Linked DNA regions of Macaca mulatta. The main gene of each other region encodes a partner of the protein of the gene in region 2 in a complex. Links are inferred from orthologs where the notes say so. Each region holds a gene or a part of one and is shown on either strand. Other genes may lie near its edges. The genes, in order: PLEKHA4, KLHL12 and PEF1.

Region 1 (2,879 bases), on a different chromosome or scaffold from region 2:
AAAGTGCTGAGATTACAGGCTTGAGCCACCGCACCTGGCCAATACATTAATTTTTAAAAATTCAGTGCCTACGGAAGCATAGGAAAAACAAAACAAAACATTGCCAGTGTTTTTGGGCAATTTCATTCTCTTTTGGAGCCCCTTCACTTCACCCTCAAAATGAGAATGTGGGGCTTCCAGGTGAGGAGTTCTAATGCCCCAATTCCTTTCCAGCCTGTCGTAGGACACTCGGGAGCCCAGAAATGGCTCAGAAGCTCTGGGTCTTGGAGTAGGTAAGGAACTGGAGGGCGTATCAAGGGAGCAGGAAAAAAAAATTTGCATAAGCAAAGGGGAGTAGCATTATTATTGAAGTCTCCTGAATATGGAACTACAAATCGCAACCCTTCTAGATATGCTTACGTTCCCGGGGCATCTGAAACAAAACCGGAAAGCCCTAGATCCGTAGTGATATCTTTAGTTCCCCAAATTCCCTTGGTCAATAGCATAGCCTGCTTTTGCATCAAGGAAATTGGGTGGTAGTGATTTGCGAATGGACTACAAATCCCATAATGCATGTGGGCGGTATGAGGGCGGTGCCATGTTTAACATCTGTTAGAGACACGTGCTAGGAACTACAACTCCCAGAAGGGCACGCGCGGTACCCGGGTCCCCACTGTGCGAGCTGTTTAGTTTTTATTTTTATTTTTACTTTTGTTTTGTTTTTTTTTTTGTTTGTTTTGTTTGTTTGTTTTTTGAGACGGAGTCTTGCTCTGTCTCCCAGGCTGGAGTGCAATGGTACGATCTCAGTTCACTGCAACTTCCTCCTTCTGGGTTCAAGTGATTCTCCTTCCTCAGCCTCCCTAATAGCTGGGATTACAGGTGCCCATCACCATGTTTGGCTAACTTTTTTGTATTTTTTAGTAGAGACTGGGTTTTCCCATGTTGGCCAGAGTGGTCTCGAACTCCTGACCTCAAGTGATCCACCCACCTTGGCCTCCCCAGGTGCTGGGATTACAGGGATGAGCCATCGCACCTGGACTGTTTTTTTTTTTTAATTTTTAATTTTTGTTGGTACATAGTAGGTGTACATATATTTACGGGATAAATGAGATGTTTTGATACAGGCAGGCAATGTGAAATAAGCACGTCATGAGGAATAGAGTATCCATCCCCTTTCAAGGATTTACCCTTTGATGTATAAACAATCCAATTACACACTTTATTTTAAAATGTACAATTAAATTATTATTGACTATAGTCACTCTGTTGTGCTATCTAATAGTAGGTCTTATTCATCCTTTTCTTTTTGTACCAATTAACCCTCCCCACCTCTCCCCCATGTATGTACACACCCCACCCCCAATCTTCTTTTTTTTTCTAGTCCAAGGAACACCACCCCTTACTTGCCGACTTCCGAAGGTCACCGGGAGCGGGTTCTCAGCCTCTCCCAAGCCCTGGCTACTGAGGCGTCGCAGTGGCACAGAATGATGACAGGTGACTGGCTGGGGATGTTGAACTTCTGGGTTTTAGGGAGGAGAAAGCTGGAGACCTGGAATCCCAGGTCCTGGAGAGGAGGGGTCTAGGGGCCGGTGGGAATTTTTTATGTTGGCGAAGAAAGAGTTGGGCAGAGTTTGGGAGTTTTAGGTCTCAGGCAAGAGTGGACTGGGTTCCGGGACACTTGGGAGGAGGGGAGGAAGAGGTCAGGGGGCGGGGAGAGGACCGACATCTGAGTCTGAAAGAGGTCTGGACTCGGGTGTCCAGACTCCTGGGTCTGAGGGAGGAGGGGCTGGGGGCCTGGACTCTTGGGTCTGAGGGAGGAGGGGCCTGGGAACCCGGAGTCCTGCTGCTGAAGTTTGCCATTCTTATGTCTCCCACTCATCCTCTCTAGGTGGAAATTTGGACTCCCGGGGAGACCCTCTTCCCCGTGTGCCGCTGCCTCCTTCGGACCCCACGCGCCAGGAGACCCCTCCCCCCAGATCTTCCCCGGTGGCTAATTCGGGTTCCACAGGGTTCTCTCGCCGAGGGAGTGGGCGTGGAGGAAGTCCCGCCCCCTGGGGGCCCACGTGGGATGCCGGGATCGCCCCTCCGGTCCTGCCCCAGGACGAGGGGGCGTGGCCTCTGCGAGTCACTCTGCTACAGTCCAGCTTCTAACCCGCCCAAACGTGGCAGCCAATCGGAGCGTGAGCACGTGGTCTGGAGGTACCGCCGGAGATCTGGGACCACTCAGGGCATCAGGGGCGTGGTCTGGTCCCCATCGCCCGCCCGGGAGGGAAATGGTTTCTATGGCCAAAGTTTGATTTTCTCAACACTGTCTAAATTTGGATTAAAACTTTGAACTTTTAGTCAATAGCTTTGTTTCTGTCTGTTTGGGGTTGTTGCACTGGGGTCTCTGAGGGGCAGAGCCGGAGTCGTGCACTCCTGGGTCCTGAGAGAGGAAGGGACAGGGGGCTTGGACTTACAGGTCTCTGGGAGGAAGGGATAGAGAATCTGATCCCTCAGTCTGAGAGTGGAGGGGCCTGGGTCAGGATTCCCGGGTCTGAGGGAGGAGGGGTTGGGACCCTGACTCCTGGGTCTGAGGGAGGAGGGGCTGGGAGGCTGGACTCCTGGGTCTGAGGGAGGAGGGACTGGGGCTCCTGGATTCCTGTGTCTGTGGGAGGAGAGGAGTGTCTGAGGGAGGAGGGGCTGGGGACAAACTTCCAGGTCCCTAGCCTTCCTGGCAACGCCCCCCGAGGCTGGACTTCCACGATCCAGCTTCTATTGAGGATTTGATGCGACGGCCTCACGGGGCTTTGGAGGTGAAAAAGGCCCAGAGTAGAGACACAGAGAGAGAGAGAGAGAGAGAGAGACCGGTGGACACGGATGGCTACGGGAACGCGCTATGCCGGGAAGGTGGTGGTTGT
Region 2 (3,749 bases):
CGGCACGAAAAGGCCATTGTGGACAATGGACGTGAAAAAATTTGAGGCCTCTGTGGGTTTTCTCGATGTCAAAAAGTTTCTCAGTACCTGGAAGGTAAAACATACTTGCTGCAATCAGATGCTTGGCATATTAAGCGTTGGAATTCTCTCTGTGTGCCCTGCCTCGTGAGCAGTAGGGAGGAACTCAGGCTCAGACAGTCGCTGAGCTGTAGATACATTCCCAGGCTCCCTGCCGGACCCCACAACATCCGGCCTTTTTTGTTTTTTTCTTTTTTTTTTTTTTTTGGAGACGGCGTTTCAGTCGGTCGCCCAGGCTTGAGTGCAGTGGCGCGATCTCGGCTCACTACAACCTCCGCCTCCTGGGTTCTAGCGATTCTCCTGCCTTAGCCTCCTGAGTAGCTGGGATTACAGACGCGTGCGACAACGCCCGGCTAATGTTTTTTGTATTTTTAGTACAGATGGGGTTTCACCATGTTGGCCAGGCTGGTCTCAAATTCCTGACCTCAAGTAATACACCCGCCTTGGCCTCCCAAAGTGCAGGGATTATAGGCGTGAGCCACCACGCCCGGACTTTTTTTTTTTTTTTTTTCAACAGGGTCTCTGCAGTGGCGACTCTGGCTTACTGCAACCTCTGCGCCTAGCTCAAGTGATCCTCCTGCCTCAGCCTCCCGAGTAGCTGGGACTACAGTCGGGGCCACCACGCCGGGCTAATTTTTTTTTTTTTTTTTTTTTTTTAGAAACGGGGTTTTGCCGTGTTCCCCAGGCGGGTGTGGAACTCCGGAGCTCAGGTAATTCGCTCGCCTCGGCCTGCCAAAGTGCCGGGATTACAGGCGTGAGCCACCATGCCCTGCCCACCAGACCTTTTTCTAATTCGGCTTCCTAGCAACGTGCAGAGGCCCGGCACCAGGGTACAGGCAGGTCACGTGACACCACCTCTTCACGTGACGCAGACTCGAGCGGGAGGAGGGCGGTGCTCCAGCTGCATTGCGTCATCACGTCGCGCGGCCGCAGGGACCAGACCTGGACGGCTCCAGAGCCTCCAGAGCCTCCGGGTGGGGGCGGCGGCGGCGGCTCTTCGGCTCTTCCTGAGCCGCCTGCTGGCCCCGCGCCCCACTCCATCCCCACAGGCTGGGGACGGGCCCGGCGCTGCTGTGTGGGCTCGGGAGCGGAGGTGAGTTGCGCGGAAGTGATGGCAGTCAGCCCTTCCCTTCCTGTCCGTCAACTCCGGGTTATGGCCCTACCCCCCATCCTTGGTCTCCCTGTAAGGCGGAATGGGAGACATGCCGGAGAGAGGAGGAAGGCTGGCGGGGGGGCGGGGCATCTGGCCTCAGTCGCCCTCTCAACTCTCCCCTGAATTGCCCCCCTGCGATACCTCCATCTGGCGGCGCCGGTCATATGCCTGGTGGTATCAGAAGGAAGGAGTTCGTTTCCTTCTCTAGAATGTAGTCTTTCCGGAATTTACTACCCCATTCCTGCCCCGAATCTCCCGAAGTGGAATCCCTCTATTCAGATGTTAACGGAAGTTCTAGAAAATAGGTCACTTCAGAAGGGTGAGGGTGAAGGATATGCTGAGACTTGGAGTGTTGAGGCAGGAATCCCCTAGAAGGAAGGCCACTCTGCACTAGGGGTACTGTCATTTTGGCACGGAAACGATAAAACACCCCCCAGGCTGTCTTCACTGTAAATGGACGTTTGTTCCAGACTCTTTTTGCACCCCTAGAGTTGAAACTAAGTTGACTTAAGTCTTTTTGAAAAACATATGCTTTGATGAATCACCCCCTTTTCTGCAAAATGGGTCATGCAGTTGTTGGAGGGATTATCTATAGTGCTTATAGAGTAAAATGCCAACTATAAACAGAAGTAGATGAGAATTTAGGATCTCATTTTTCCTGTTGAAAAATTACTTGTGAGTTGCGAACTTCTGGAGACCACAGTTTTATTTCCTGCCGTCCCCCTACCCCCGCCCCGCCGGATCGTTTCAGAAAGTTTTGGATTCCAATATTGATTCGTTAACCAGTAATGGACATTTACAGATATAGAGTAGGAATACCCTCTTGTTGAGGAGCTTCAATATCTTAAGCAAGTGTAAGTCCATCGGTAACTTGCGTGGTTTCCACTATTCAGTTAGGGTAATAGGTCAATTGAAGTTTCTTTCTTTCTTTTTTTTTTTTTTTTTTTGAGACAGAGTCTCGCCCTATTGCCAGGCTGGAGTGCGGTGGTGTGATCTCATCTCAATTCAACCTCCACCTCCTGGGTTCAAGCGATTCTCGTGCCTCAGCCTCCTTGGTAGCTAGGATTACAGGCGCGCGTCACCACACCTGGCTATTTTTTGTATTTTTAGTGGAGGCTAGGTTTCACCATGTTGGCCAGGCTGGTGTCAAACTCCTGACCTCAACTGATCCACCCATTTCAGCCTCCTAAAGTGCTGGGATTACAGGCGTGAGCTACTGGGCCTGGCCTGAAGTTTCATTTTAAGAAGAAATCCAGATATAGCTGAAAGTCATCAGACATAATTATTTGGCTACTTCTTTAGAAAAAAGTTTATTTTTACTGACTGGCCTTTCTCTCTCTAAGTTGAAGTTGAATACACACTTATTCTTACATTAAATTGTAAACATTCATTGTGCAACTTCTAGGATAGAAAGCATACATATAAAGCAGGATCCTCAGCCTCTAAATACTTATCTACTTAAGGATATTAAATAGTAATGATATAACACCTTTAAGAAATTGTATATTTTCAATTTGTCATTTGAGACAAGAACCTTGTGAAGATTTACAGGACATATATTGTTTATCTCTACTTACGTTTCAGCATTGATCATAATAAATGTCAAGTGGTAGGGACACTCCGTGGTAGAGGAATTCAGAGAAAGAAGAGAGAACTTTTACATGTACTAGATAGTGGCTAGATAGTGGTGGTGATGCCAGGCATAGGAGTGCCCTCAACTTGTGTCTGTTTGGGTCTGAGGGAAGCCTCTTAGGTTCTTAATTTGTAAAACTAATTAAATATGTTCAGTTTCCCTAGTTCTTTGAATATGCTCATTGTTTTTTTTCTCTTGTAGCTTCAGAATCCAAGGACCCATTTTGTTTTTTCTCCGCACTGCTTTATGGGAGGCATTATGGCCCCCAAAGACATAATGACAAATACTCATGCTAAATCCATCCTCAATTCAATGAACTCCCTCAGGAAGAGCAATACCCTCTGTGATGTGACATTGAGAGTAGAGCAGAAGGATTTCCCTGCCCATCGGATTGTGCTGGCTGCCTGTAGTGATTACTTCTGTGCCATGTTCACTAGTGAGGTAAGTGATAAGTTAGCCCCACACAAATGAAACTCCCGTGGTACTCTAGTTGTCTTATTTCACTGAATAAAATAGTAGAACTTTGATATAATTGTGAATTTTTACAGTGTGATGTTTTGGCAGATTCTGGATAAGATCTACCACTTAGATGACTATGCTTTAGTTTCCTCATCTTTAAGTTAGGAATAACAGTAATATGTAATAACTGGTTATTAAGGTTATTGTGAAGATTATTTTATGAAATAACGTACAAAATGCTTAGAGTAGTTTAATATGCAGTAAAACACAAATGTCAGCTATTGGATTTTACTATTTCTTAAATTTGTTTTCCAATTTTTCTCCTTTTTTTGTTTTTAATTTTATTTATTTATGTATTTATTTGTAGAGACAGGGTCTCACTGTGTTGCCCAGGCTGGTCTTGAACTCCTGGGCTCAAGCAATCCT
Region 3 (3,749 bases), about 150 Mb from region 2:
ATAAAAGTTGGAAATTTGAAAAAAAAAAAAAACAAAGCTTGCCAAAGGTGATACGGTTAGAAAGTGATAAAACAAAGATCCTCCCTCCAAAGCAGAAGTGCTGAATGGTGGAACTGAGCACAGAAATACAGAGTAGCAGAAGGGGCGGTAAGATTGGAAAGGTGAGGTTGGGCCAGATTCTGAAGGGGCCTGGAGTGCCAGAATGAAGAGACTGGGCCTTATTTTGTAGGCGTGGATGAACAGCATCCGTTGTAGGCTGTGCAATGAGTAAGTGGCATGATCAGCACTGTGATTTTGGAAAGTGCACTTGGTTAGATAGATGGGCTAGGCTGGATAACACTTCGTAATAATCGTGTCAGTCGCTGTACTAGATACTGGAGTTATAATGACAAGCAAAAACAGACAAAACCCTAGCCCACCTGGAAGAACTTGACAAAGTAATCAAATAAGCACACAAATAACTGTACAACCGGAACCACTGAGTGGCAAGTACATGGTGCTGAGATCACTCAGTCACCAGGATTTGACCTGCGATGGGGAACGACCTAGACTTCCCTGCTGAGAACTGGACATCCATTGACCCCGGTTCTAGGCCACCCACTGTGAGCTAGGGCAAGTCAATTGCCTCTCTGGACCTCAGTTTCCCCATTTATGAAGAAAGAGGCACTAGATAATTCAATTTTCCTTCAACTCTAACGGTCTGGGATTTTTTTCTCCAAAGACCACAGATCTGTATCTCACTACAAGGCTACTAACTGGTACCCAGTGTTTTGACATTAGAAAAGCAATTCCGCCATTGCCTCTCCCTACCGGGAAGAGTCGGTGGGTTCCCACCTTGTCAGGGGAACCGCCCGCCCCCCTCCTCTCCTTTCCCGCGGCTCCTCTGCGGAAACTCAGGAGCTACGCCAGCAACTACGTCACTATCATGCGTCCCACTTGCCAGGTTATAACATGGCTACCGCAGCGACATCCCACCCAGGCTTCTCACTAAATATCCCAACCTGACCACCGCTTGGGCCCACTCCAGCTCAGAAAAGGGAGGAACATTAGCGCCGGCACAGCGGCCAAGACTTTCGGAAGCTCCATCAGTCACTTAGCTCCCCTGGTCTCTCGGGTAGGCATCCGCCCACCGCCCGATCGTCACTTCCGTCGGCCGTTGCGCCCAAGATTGACAGGCGCGGACGTCCAGTCAGATGCGGGCCCAGCCCCAAAACCGAGGCGAGGGGCGGGTTTGAGAGCGGAAAGCCCCACCCCTTGCCTGCGTGTGACGTCAGAATCGCCATGGCCAGCTATCCGTACCGGCAGGTGAGTGTGTGAGGGACCCGCGAATCCAGGTAGCGGCCGTACCAAGCGCAGGCCCGGCGCCCCCCTGCTCTTTTCCCCCGCTTTCTCCGCGCCCTTCCCACGATGGGTTCGCTTCAGCGAGGCCTCGCGCTGTAGAGAACCGAAAAGAGACCGTCGGTCGCGCCCGGCTCACGTCATGAAGGACCGCACATTCGCGAGGTCGTGTCGCGTCCCCTTTGACGTCGCTCACGCGAGGATTTGGGGACCTTGGACCCCACAGGTCCAGGCTGGCGCTGGCCTGGGCTCCACAGCCTCCCAAGGCCCCCACGGGGGCCTTGGGCGGGGGCATCAGCCATGACCGGACGTTTAGAGTTCTGGTTCCGTCGATCTAGTTTGGGGCGTCGGATAAAAATCCAGGCTTCCAGACCCACCCCACACTGCATCAGAGTCATCAGGAAACTTTGGTCGTAGCAGGCGCCACAAGTGAGCTGGTTTGACCACTGACTTAGTTCAGCACCGCCATTTCGCATGTAGAAAAGTGAACCCCGAGAAGACACAGAACTTACCTGAAGTCACCAGGCAGTTAGGCAGCAGGGCCGAGGTCAGAACCCGGGCTGCCTTCAGATTCCTCTTCCCCAGCGTATATTCAGTGAGGAATACCACAGCAAGGTGATTCTGTGGCCAGAATTGTTTGTTGGGTGATAGTAGGGTGTTGAAGTGCACTTTGGAGTCAGAGGTAGGTTCATACCTTAGCTCTACTACCTAAATAGTTGTGAGCCCTTGAGCAAGATGTTTTGCCTTTCTGAGTCCAAGTATCCTGTAAAATAGGGCCGAATAATAGGATCTGCCTCATAAAGCTATTGTGGAGAGTCAGGAGGTGATGCTTACGAAGCGTTTGGTACATAGTGAGGTGTAACAAGTGTTGCCCTTTAGCATTTTGATTTTTACTAGACTTCTAAAAGGCCAGTGCCCGGAGGGTCCTCAAAATAGACCCCTCATTTTACAGAGGAGGAAATGAAGCCCACAGAGGCCTGCGATCGCACAGTTATTTAGGAGATGAAACCCGTGCGGGAAATTTGGGATAACAAGGTCAACTGGTATATTACACAGTGCTCAGCTGAGTATAGTCACATGCCAAAAGATGTAACAGCCCTTCCAAAGAGTGCAGTCTTGTACGGGTTACACAGTATTCGGACCTCCATTATCCTAATCACGAAGGCTCTATCGGCAAGCAGGTATTATTACCCCTAATTAACTGCTAAGGAACAAACCCAAAGAGGTTAAGTGGCTTCCCAAAAGTCACATGTAGTAAGTGAGGGTGAGGCCATGACCAGAGCTTAGGACTTCTCTTATTGCATCCGTAGAGAGAGGTAGGAAAGAGGCCACTGCAGGCTGGAGTTAGGAGAAAGTGTAACATAGCAGTTGTTTCCTAAAGTCCGTTCCGTTTGCTGAGTCTTGTGAGGTGTTAATAGATATTGTTAATATAGTAGGATTCTGTAGTTAACTAAAGTTTTGGAAATACTCTTCTTTAAGTATAGCTGAATAAGTTTGTTGACCACAAACAATTTCAAAATTCTTAATTTGCTAATGTACATGGTAAATCTTCCAGAAAGGAATATAATATGCAGTATTTCTTAAACACATTTAACCATAGAAACTCCCCCTTCCCTCTTTCTTTTCAGATGTCTGGTCACTTTTTGTGACTCTAGTATTTCTGAGCAACACAGGCTGAGAAAACATTCATAGTGCCTTGTTTCCCAATGGCTGGTCTTCTGCCACAGAATCACCTGAGAGCTTGTTTAAGAAAGCACGCTTTCGGGTCCCGCTTCAGACCTGTTCTGTACCCAGGAATCTACATACTAATAAGCATTAGGGACAATTTGTGTGCATCCTAAAAACAGTGACAGGTTAGACAGAACTGTGCTAGAATTCTAGCTGTGTTAATAGTTATATACCCTTGGACAAACTAAGGGCTCTAAGCCTCTGCTTCCTCACCTGTTATATAAAGGGAGAAATAATACCTGTGAAAAGGGCTAAAATGAGGTTGAAATGCAGGGAGCCTGGCACGTTGCTAGTGCCTAGTACATGCCAGTGTCTGGTGGCAGCTCTTGCTGCTGTGACTGCTCTCATGATGCTATGCTGCCTGGGCTATTCTTGGAGTGAAATACTGAAAAGGAGCACAGAGAGAGGAGTCTGGAATAGAAAAAGAAATGTTGCTTTTTTTCCTACCATACCCTTGTCCGCCTCCTGGTCTCAGGTGTTCTAAGAAAGGAAACCGGTTGTTTTAGAGCATCTCAGTCAGTGCTGCCTCCCCTCCACCCACTACATAGCTTTGGAGGATTCCAGCCTATTGTTAGGAGTCAGAATTCCTGTAATTTTCCACTGCTTCCAGTCCAGGGTACCCAAGCAGGGACTGGGTATTGGAGTAGTAAAATTCAGGCACCCTTTGGTCTTATAGGGGAACC

The links.
Region 1: the proteins of KLHL12 (region 2) and PLEKHA4 are in contact, whole or in part, in a crystal structure (PDB 8OIO), measured with the Homo sapiens proteins. The link is inferred for Macaca mulatta from reciprocal best matches to the Homo sapiens genes KLHL12 and PLEKHA4. Residues at the interface, in NP_067646.1 of Homo sapiens: Phe289, Arg320, Glu417, Tyr434, Ile439, Phe481, His486, Cys511, Tyr512, Tyr528, Leu533, Cys558; in NP_065955.2 of Homo sapiens: Pro177, Gly178, Gly179, Pro180.
Region 3: the proteins of KLHL12 (region 2) and PEF1 are in contact, whole or in part, in a crystal structure (PDB 8RBH), measured with the Homo sapiens proteins. The link is inferred for Macaca mulatta from reciprocal best matches to the Homo sapiens genes KLHL12 and PEF1. Residues at the interface, in NP_067646.1 of Homo sapiens: Phe289, Gln293, Arg320, Tyr321, Leu371, Glu417, Tyr434, Ile439, Phe481, His486, Cys511, Tyr512, Tyr528, Leu533, Cys558; in NP_036524.1 of Homo sapiens: Gly15, Gln16, Ala17, Pro18, Gly19, Ala20, Pro21, Pro22.

Annotation. Positions count from the first base shown.
Region 1 is NC_133424.1:61,292,501-61,295,379, reverse strand, and holds the end of PLEKHA4 (pleckstrin homology domain-containing family A member 4), read left to right. Parts: intron 1-213; coding exon 214-272; intron 273-968; exon of another isoform or gene 969-1,360; coding exon 1,361-1,473; exon of another isoform or gene 1,474-1,867; coding exon 1,868-2,130; 3' UTR 2,131-2,326; downstream 2,327-2,879. UniProt on the Homo sapiens protein: Binds specifically to phosphatidylinositol 3-phosphate (PtdIns3P), but not to other phosphoinositides.
Region 2 is NC_133406.1:60,591,205-60,594,953, reverse strand, and holds the start of KLHL12 (kelch-like protein 12), read left to right. Parts: upstream 1-1,066; 5' UTR 1,067-1,171; exon of another isoform or gene 1,172-1,199; intron 1,200-3,028; exon of another isoform or gene 3,029-3,065; coding exon of another isoform or gene 3,066-3,110; coding exon 3,111-3,305; intron 3,306-3,749. UniProt on the Homo sapiens protein: Substrate-specific adapter of a BCR (BTB-CUL3-RBX1) E3 ubiquitin ligase complex that acts as a negative regulator of Wnt signaling pathway and ER-Golgi transport.
Region 3 is NC_133406.1:209,236,026-209,239,774, forward strand, and holds the start of PEF1 (peflin), read left to right. Parts: upstream 1-1,269; 5' UTR 1,270-1,281; coding exon 1,282-1,305; intron 1,306-3,749. UniProt on the Homo sapiens protein: Calcium-binding protein that acts as an adapter that bridges unrelated proteins or stabilizes weak protein-protein complexes in response to calcium.